2 linked regions of the Saccharomyces cerevisiae S288C genome follow. The protein of the gene in region 2 interacts with the protein of the main gene of each other region in a pairwise test. Each region holds a gene or a part of one and is shown on either strand. Other genes may lie near its edges.

Region 1 (4,709 bases), on a different chromosome or scaffold from region 2:
AATGTTAGGCAGTGCACCTGCCAAGGGACCAACCCGTGCTTTAGGAGAGTTATCGCTGAAGCACGTTTACGAAATAGCCAAGATAAAAAAGAGTGATGAAAGGCATAGTTTATTGGAGATGGAAGGTATTGTTAAATCAATAGTTGGCGTTGCAAAAAGTATGGGTATTAAGGTTGTACCTTGATCTGTAAGTAGTGAAAAGACAAAAAAGTACCGTCAATTTCGAGAAATTTTCAACAGACCTTCCTTCTTCTTTCTACTGATCTATTCTGTAAATATGTATATAAGTTTTAAATTCTCTTTCTCCCGTTATGTTAGCAAAGCTCGGTAGTACTGAAGCTATTCTGAGTAAACGCTTCTCCAACTCTGTATACTGAGAGTTGTTTTATAAGTCAATAAAGACCGGATATTTATATGTATATATTGATTTGGTATAATAAAAATGAAATGCTAATAAAAATGCCTATGAAAAGAGGAAAATCCAGGAATATCGAGTTTTTTCATTTGGTGAACTTCCTTTTTTTATTTTTTTTCCATTTTTTTCTGTTATTTTTCTTGCTATTAATCTTCAATGGGCGGTTATTTGGTTCGTTAACAGCCTGTTCCTGTTTGGATTTAGAGGTAACATTACCAGTGGCCATGGCAGATTTCGCCAATGGCAATGGAACCGATTTTGGAGTTAGCCTCGTGTATAGGAGATAATATGCGTTGGGTTCCTTTAAAACGTCCCTTTCAGATATTATATTAATATACTCGTCGTCGTAAGTGGCCCAGCTACCGTCTGGTTGCTTGCAGTGGGCAATGTAGTGACCTGAAGAAAGGGAGCGGCCCTCATGAACCACCACGCTTAATAGTTGGTATTTGACAGGTAGCTCTTTACTCTCACAATATTCCGTCAAATCTAAAAACATAGGATAAGAAACAGCTTGCTTCATTTTTGATGAGGACGTGCCATTGAATCTGAATTTTTTCAGATGCACAAGTAAAGTTTCAGGAGCCCTTAATATTGAACTATGCTTCACGGCGTTCGTGGTCTTGTGACACTTCTCACAAACGTAACCCTTTTGCTCCTTGTCAACCTTGATTAATTCGGGATTGAAGAAATCTTTAATTGATTTTTCAATAGAAAATCTGCGGTTGGCTGAACTTAAATCACTGGCAGCGGCAAATGGTGAGCCATTGTTTAAATTGACAGATGAAGAGGATGAAAGAGATGGTTTTGTGGCAGCATTGGAGGTAGTGGTAGAAGTGGTGGCTGAAGTGCCGTTAATGCTATCACTCGACAGGTCAGAATTTGGATCAAGTTTTTTCTTCCCTTTCAAGTGCAACGATAAATCGTAAAATGGTTGTTCTGTTTTAGATATACTGCCACAAGATTTGCAAGTAACGATCTGCTTTAAAAGACCACCGAATATGTCATATATTATCGATTCTATAAGTTTATGACCCTTGGGAACAGAATCTTCCTGTAATCTTGACATCAGAGACATGAAGTACTCATGTGAATCTTCCTGCTGCCATTCGCTCATCATACAATTAATGTCATCCAATCTGGAAATCAAATGTTTTGGATTAATGTAGGAAGCTGAAACGTTCTTTCTAGGGTTTTTTGAGACCGGTAACCACATTTTTTTACTTGTTTCAGCTAAAGTATAGGAAACGGAATTTTTTGAGATGGTGCTATCGTATTTCCCCATTAGTATATCAAAAAGATAATGTTGTATCGAAGGAATGTGTAACATAGCCTGTACAGCAGCATTTGTGTAACAAGTAACACCATGATTCAAAAGGCCACGAGGCTTCAAATTGGTGAATTTGTCGCCCCAATTTTTAACAATTCTAGTAGAGTTTAAAGAACCACGATCATTGATATTTTCATTGAATTGGTAAAAGTTTGATAGATTTGATATTGTAACCGGAGGGGTGATTGACCTAGATTTATGTTTCAGCTCTTCTTCCTCTTCTTCCTCCTCCTCTCCCTTTGGATTCCTGTTTCCATTTTCTTTGGTGTTGTTTACTGGTTCGTACCGATTTACTTCCACTGTACTATTTTCCATTAAATCTTGATATAAACTCTTTTTTTCGCCTTCAGAAATTTTGGAGCTGGAATCGTTCTCCTCTTCTTCAGGGAGCTCTTTTTCCATAGCACTAGAATCATAATCCATGTCATCCTCATCCTCGTCGTCTTCTATTTCGTCATCACTGCTAATGCTTGTAGACAGTTCCTTTCTTTTTTCCTTTTCATTCTCATTAGATGAATCATCAATGGTTGCTAATGGAGAACCCAAGTTTTCACCAATGTCTTCACCAATGTCTTCACCGATGTCTTCACCGATGTCTTCACCGATGTCTTCGCCGATGTCTTCACCATCGCCCTTATCTGCGTTGTCGCGTTCCTTCAAACTAGCTTTTCGGGGTTCTACATAGTCTCTTGCCTCATGAAATATTTCACCCTCTTCCTCTTCCTCTTTTCCTACTTTGTCATCTTCCGAAGAAGAGGAAGGAGGCTCCGTAGAAAGCTCCGTAGAAAGCTCCGCTGACTTCTTGGCACCAGTAGCATCTGCAGCATCTTTATCATTTTTAGAAGTATACAACAATAAAGCTTCAGCCATAGATTTAGGAACAGTGTTGGTTTTCTTTCCGTTTGGCCTGTCTATCAAGTTATTTTCTTTTATTTGCTTGGATTCGGCCGTTGCAGCAATAGCTGTGCTATTACTATTGTTATTATGCTGTTTTCCTATCACAATATACGAGCTATTTTCCGGCGCGGCGGAAGTATCATTATTATTCGATTTGTTAGAGATCATTGCAGCATTGAACTGCAGGGGATTTGATAGGATTCTATCTACCAAAGGTTTGATCGATTCTTGAGTGGTCATAGTCTGTGATTGTGATATGACAATAGGACGGATTTACAGATACTATGAGTTGTAGATTCTTTCCGTTAGTTTTTCTATGAAATATTATGTGCAGTACAGAACAAAAGAGGCTTCAGACACTATGCATGCTCCTGTGTGCAGTATATGATGCTTAATAGCTTCTATGAAACAAATAAAGGACAGAAGCGGGGATGGAAGACTCTGTTAATGCTTTACAGGGAAGTTTTTCCCGATGGTGGCACTATATAAAAATAAGAACTTTTTTCTTTTCTTTTGGGGATTTTTTTCGATGCGAAAAAAATTTTTTGACGGCATGAGGCAAGAAGTGAACAAAAGAGGTGGTGTCTGGGGGATGCAATTTAACTTCTTACTTGTGCGCGTTCATCGGAGAAAGCTGGCCGGGTGATACACGAATACGGGTTTGCCGTTTTTAGCCGCCGAACCTGCATAATGAAATTGTGCCCCCATGAGATAGGGCGAACAGTTCGGGATCCCCAGGACAATTCTTCACTACCGTGGCAGGAATAGTAGAATCAAGGTTAGTGCGCCACTCTGACTCTGGCGGGATAGACGTGATTAGTGGGTCTTCAACACTATTGTGTGAGGGAACACCTCCAAATTCCACAAGGTCTCGACCCCAGTTCAATATTGTTCCCTGCGGCGTCCCCATACTTAGTCCGTAAGCCGTATCTATATATGCCTTCAACTTTGCAGAGTTGTGGTGGATCCGAAACGGTAGGCGCAATACGTTAAGCTCGTGCTGCAGGTTTCGCCGATCGTAAATACTAATCGCGTCACTGTTGCGTCTGACAACGTACACGTAACGCCCGTTATCGCTTGTAAGGATTTGTACAATCCCACCTGCAACTGTGCGGGTGTAGTTCAGTCTCTCTAGTCGTTGATGACGGCAGTCTACCTGAAACATTTCATTCGCATAACTGCCACACAATAGAGATCCTCTTGAGAGAGCTTGCCCTCCCATTGGTTGCTCTTCAAAGCAAGATATAATGCTTTGTCTTCCCTTGCTTGCTTTTTTGGTACTCTGGTTCATCCACACGGCATCTCGTCTGCTCTTGTCGTATATCGCCACTTTGTTACGGCATGAGCCAGTGTATACACGAGACTCAACATCGATTTTCACACTGTATACAGTTTCGTATTCTCCATTTATTTTGTTCATCGTGTCATAGCTGAGGATACACTGCCCGTCCATCAAAGAGTATAGTTGTAGAGGGAAGTTTTTTCCTCCAACCACGATTCTGTCACCAGCTAACCTGTCGGAATTCTCGTTATAAAGCGTGTAAAACGGGTCTATTGCACATGAAACAATAGACTGGTTTCTAAAAAACCTTGTAAATGGTAGAAGGAGGTTTCTGTTTAGCTTGTCCGTATTACTTTCCTCCGGCACTAAATATTGTCTGATGCCAAAATCATTATGCACAGAAACAAACGATGTACCATCACATGACCAAAAGATATCTTGACATATTACCTTCTTTTCCATTCTGAAGTCGTCTGTCATATTGATATATGGTGATTCTCCTAGTCGTGGATACTCGTATCCACTTCGATCACTTTGAGTCCTTTTTAACCATTCCTTATCTTCTCTTTTCCATACATTCGCTATCGTGTCAGCCTCGAACACTTCGCCAGTGTCGCAATACGGAATTGCATTCATTCTTTCATCATTTTTTCTATTCAAGGACTCATAATGCCCTTGTACCATCTATGTTTATGGAATATGCGGTCTGTCCACCACCGATTTTTAAGTGCACGCTTTTCTTTTTTTGCTTAATTTTCAGACCGTGATAATACTCTCTTTAAAACGGA
Region 2 (4,815 bases):
TTTGGCCTACCATCATGCTCTAAAGATACCCAAGGTTTCAATGGATTTGGTGTTTCTTCTGGTTTTTCAGAAAAAGTGACACCGGCAATGACCGTAGGAGTGACTAATTCTTTTTGACTTCCATAAACCGTACGTAACCAAGGTTTAACTTCTTCTGAAGTAGTCATTTTCTCCTTTGGACGAACGACTTGTCTTGCACCATGAACATGTTGATAAAGCGATGCCAAAGAAAAGAAGATAAGTATACTATCGTGAAATCTCATTATTCCGCAATTCCTTCAGATCCCGCAGAACTGCTTCCGACTATATTGTCTTAACCTTTTTGCTAAAATATTTTGTTCTTCAAAAGTAAAGAATAGCTTGCTGAGAGAAATGCGTCGAATTGCCTTTCTTATTTTTTTCATGATCTTTTATTCCTTTTCAAAATGTCAACGGCAAAATAATATAATTTCGCCCTTTTCCCGAGATAATTTCACAAAAAAAGCCAACGAACAATTCGAAAGGCGTTTAACATGAATATACATATATACCTGTGTATATTCATAAGATATTGAGAAATGAATCCATGAAACTCATACTGCAGTAGTTGTTACGATTTATAATGCTCTATAAATTACATTAAATGCCTTTATATACAATAAAAATGCGCTAAGAGTAGGTGACTTATTTTGAATCAGAAACTTTTTGCTTTGCTACAGCGGCTGCATTAGTGACAACTTCTTGTAACCATGAAAGTTCAATCCTACTAACATTTCTGGCATATCCCTTCGTAGTAAAGACATACTCCGTGTACATTATACCGGGGCAGCTTTTATTCATAAATAGCATAGATGATGGATGAATGCTTATCGGCTCTCCAGTGGAAACAGTTCTATAAGACCTGTCTGGCATCCCTATAGCTGTATTCTTGATAAACCCAGTTAAGAAACACTTTAAAATTTTCGAAATTAGCTCGCCATCTTCACCAATCTTTTTGGATTCTTCATCCTCTTCACTGATTGAAGAAAACAAACGCTTACAATAAACTCTTAACTGGTCTCTGACACGAATTACATTTTTAAACCCACGTATCGAAATACACAATCCTTTACACCAATCATTTCTTTCAGAGCTTGCATCTTGACTTTTCCCTAGTTCGTAGAAATAGATATCAAAAAGCTCTTTCAGCATGATAAGGTCACCATACCTTTTACCAGCGTTGCATAAGGACAAACGACGCTCGTTCACCTCATCTCTTTCTTCTGGTGACGGATTCAACAGTAAATTTTCCACACTAAGGCAAGAGACGATATCAATGACCTGACTCAAACATCCGACTTCACTGGCTTTAATTAAGACACTACTTAAATGCGGTTGTAGCGGTAACAGAGCCATTTGTTGACCCCGTTTAGTTATCTTTCCACGAGTGTCAAGAGCACCCAATTCATAAAGTTCCTGAAGCCCCATTACTATAGCTTCCTTTCCAGGGTTCTCAAACCAGGTCCAGTTTAGCAGGTCATCAACACCATATCTCTTCAACATTAACACAGGAGATGTGACGTCACTTCTGGCTATTTCAGGTTCACTTTGTTTAGGTAATTTCACATAATCAGACTCACAATAAAGCCTGAAACTCTTTCCTTCACTTTCTCTACCAGCACGACCACTTCTCTGCATCGCACTTGCCTGAGAAATGGGTACGGTAAGTAGAGTGGCTAATCCCAGCTGATGTCTCCAAACTTTGACTTTTCGAAGACCAGAATCAACGACAAATTTAACACCGGATATGGTAACAGATGTTTCTGCAATATTGGTACTAAAGACGACTTTTCTCTTGAAACCCTTTATCGGAGCGAAGACCAAGGACTGTTGGACCGCGGGAAGAGCTGCATATAAAGGATAAGGAACTATTAATGGTACTGGGGCCTCATCTGAAACATACTTTGCAATTTTCTCCATTATAGTCACTGCTTTGTCAATCTCTTCTTGGCCCGGTAAAAAACATAAGATATCTCCCAGTTCTTCACCTTGGTTTATTTGTATACAACACCTGATGACAGCGTCTACTATATCATCTGTTGGCGCCTTCAAGTAGTATTGTTTGACATCAAATTTTCTTCCTTCTACAAATAAGATTGGGGCATTATTGAAGAACTCACTAAATTTTTCGGCTTGCAATGTTGCAGACATAACAATTATTCTCAAATCAGGTCTTGGCCCTTGTATCAAGGATTTTAAGAACCCCAATATCAAATCTGTAAGCACAGTTCTTTCATGCGCTTCATCGATAACGATGACGCTGTATTCTCTAAGGTCACTATTCATCATAAGTTCTCTAAGTAACATACCGTCAGTCAGATACTTAAGTCTTGTTCTTGTAGTAGTCGTATTGTCAAATCTGACAGAATAACCTACTTGTTCACCCAGTTTGCAACCATGTTCTTGAGCAACACGTGTAGCCAAATTGATGGCCGCAACACGACGGGGTTGAGTTACAGCAATCGACCCATGCTTCTTCGTATCATATAATTTTTCTAATACGAATTGCGGAATTTGTGTTGATTTACCAGAACCTGTTTCACCAATAAGGACGGTAACGGGATTGCTTTCAATATATGACATTATTTCTCGCTTGTGTTGGTAAACGGGAAGTGTTTCTCTCATTTTGAGTAAATCGCTTGCCCGACTTTTCAAAGATTTATAAGTAAGGACATTTTCCTTGTTCGAACGTTGGTCTGAAACATGGTCGCCCTCGCCTGAATCATTAAACTTTACGATTTTACTAGCTCTTTTAATCCGAGTGTTATTCGTGAATGGATGTATATTCCTCCTAACCTTTTGTTTTTTAGAAGTATGGTTTGATGCAACTCTACTATTGCTATTTGCTGCCATGATAATGTCTGCAGACTCTTGCAACCTCTTCTTGAGGAATTCTTACATATATATCATAACCTCATCTCATCTCATCGAGCAGAATTTTTTATTTTCAATTTTTCTCATTTTTCCAAATCATTGTAAACGAATAGCCGCCGAAGAAAAACGGTAGAAGAAAAGTACATCTTTCAGTCAGCATTATACGTACAAATTATTAGCGTTATCATCATGATTATAATTACAAAGATACTACACAGTTGTATCGTACAATTATCGAACTTAATTATAGTCAGCTTCCAGAAGAGGGACTTTTTGGAGTACTCGAAGTGACTTTTATCGAATGGAGGTTTAATCCCTTCTTGAACGGTCTTGCCACAAAAGACTCCTGTGATCCAGTGGTTGCTATACTGCTAGAAGAAACCTTTCTCGCGCCCCATACTAAAGGTTTTGAGGAAGTATTGGCTGACCAAGGGCTATTTGATATTTCAGAACCCTCCTCGATATGCAACATAGTATTTCCTGATGACGAGCTCATAGACCCTCTTCTAGGAGATGGGATTGCAGATTTATTAAGAGAAAGCTCTTTGACAGAACTTTCCAAAGATTTTATCCTTTCACTGCGTGTTTCAGTAAGTTTAGTGTGAGTTTCTAGTTCACCCTTTAAGATGGCGTTAGTAGTTAAAAGCTCTTGAATCTCTCTTTCCTGAAGCTGAATTTGTTCTAGTAGCCTAACGTTCATAGACTCTAAGGCTTCCTCTTTTGACTTTTTGTATTCTAACTCTTGCTGCAACTTAGAATTGGAATTCATCTGTCGATCAAAAGATAACTCAAGCTGAGCAATCTGTTCGCATCTTTTCGTTAATATTTCAGAAACTTCTTCGTCAATACGATTGTTAGGATCTTCATTGGTAGAACTACTCAATAATTGGGTAATACTGTCTAATTGAAGCTTTAGTTTGATATTTTCTTTCTTTGTATTTTCTAACATTTTTTTCTCGTCGTCTTCGGGAAGAGATTTATTGTGAAGGCTTTTTAAAGAGTCTATTTCAGCCTTTAGTATATTAATTTGGGCAACATAATTATCATCCTTAATTTTCATGTCCTGAATAAATAGATCCATTTTTTTTTTCAGATTTAAACCTGTGGTGTTATCTGTAACCTTGTTATTGATCTGTCTAATACTGTCACCAAATTCTAGTGTTGATAGGGTAGTTGGAACATTACTTAAGAAACATGTCAATATCACCTTTGTTTTCCTATTTCCCCCAAGGGAATCTTTTAACACTTCAGTTAATTGCGATTCACGGTAAGCAGAACTATGTGATCCTTTTGCGCTGTAGGCTGAATCACGCTCTTTCATTGACAAGGACCGCACAGTGTTTTTCAACGCCTCAATAGATTGGTTTAATTTTTTTAACGCATCTTGTGATAGCGTACTTTCAGTTCTTTTATCGAACTTCTCTGCCCCGTGTAAATCAACCAGATATAAAGAACTATTTTTTAATATATCATCTTTTCTATTCCTTTGTTCTACGTGTAATTGAAAAACTAGGTGTGATCTTGATCTCTCTGTCTTGTCGCCACATGCCATCCTATTGCCGACGTTTTGGACTGCCTGAATGTAGCTTCTTAAGTCTTCATACGATCCGACATGTGCCGGACAAATATCTTTGATTTCTAAGTCCATTTTGCTTGAAGAACGGTGAAGCTTTAATGGTTTTCTTTCAGGTAAAGGTACCAATAAGTCATACGTTTTCTCCATATATATTTCGAATGCCAAAACACTTACGCTAAAACTATCTCCCTTTGTTTCTTCATTTTTTTCTAGCGTATCAAACAAGGTCTTGCATATGTTCGGTAGAATTCCTTCGCTTTCTTTTGATCCAATAAGGGAATAGGACTTTCCGCTGAAACTTGGTCCATATGTTATTACAGTACCGTTATAACCATTCAAAACATCAT

What was found.
Region 1: the proteins of DHR2 (region 2) and UBP10 interact in a two-hybrid assay, tested with the Saccharomyces cerevisiae proteins (4 studies listed by BioGRID, with this or other methods).

What each region holds. Positions count from the first base shown.
Region 1 is NC_001146.8:287,668-292,376, reverse strand, and holds UBP10 (ubiquitin-specific protease UBP10), read right to left. Parts: upstream 2,880-4,709; coding exon 501-2,879; downstream 1-500. Other genes in the region: mitochondrial 54S ribosomal protein uL11m MRPL19, read left to right, coding at 1-184; SWT21 (Swt21p), read right to left, coding at 3,310-4,383. UniProt on the Saccharomyces cerevisiae protein: Deubiquitinating enzyme involved in telomere and HM loci silencing, which is the repression of chromatin structure which leads to a stop in the transcription of nearby genes.
Region 2 is NC_001143.9:286,901-291,715, reverse strand, and holds DHR2 (RNA helicase), read right to left. Parts: upstream 2,872-4,815; coding exon 664-2,871; downstream 1-663. Other genes in the region: PSG1 (Psg1p), read right to left, coding at 1-263; SMY1 (Smy1p), read right to left, coding at 3,143-4,815. UniProt on the Saccharomyces cerevisiae protein: Probable ATP-binding RNA helicase. Required for 18S rRNA synthesis.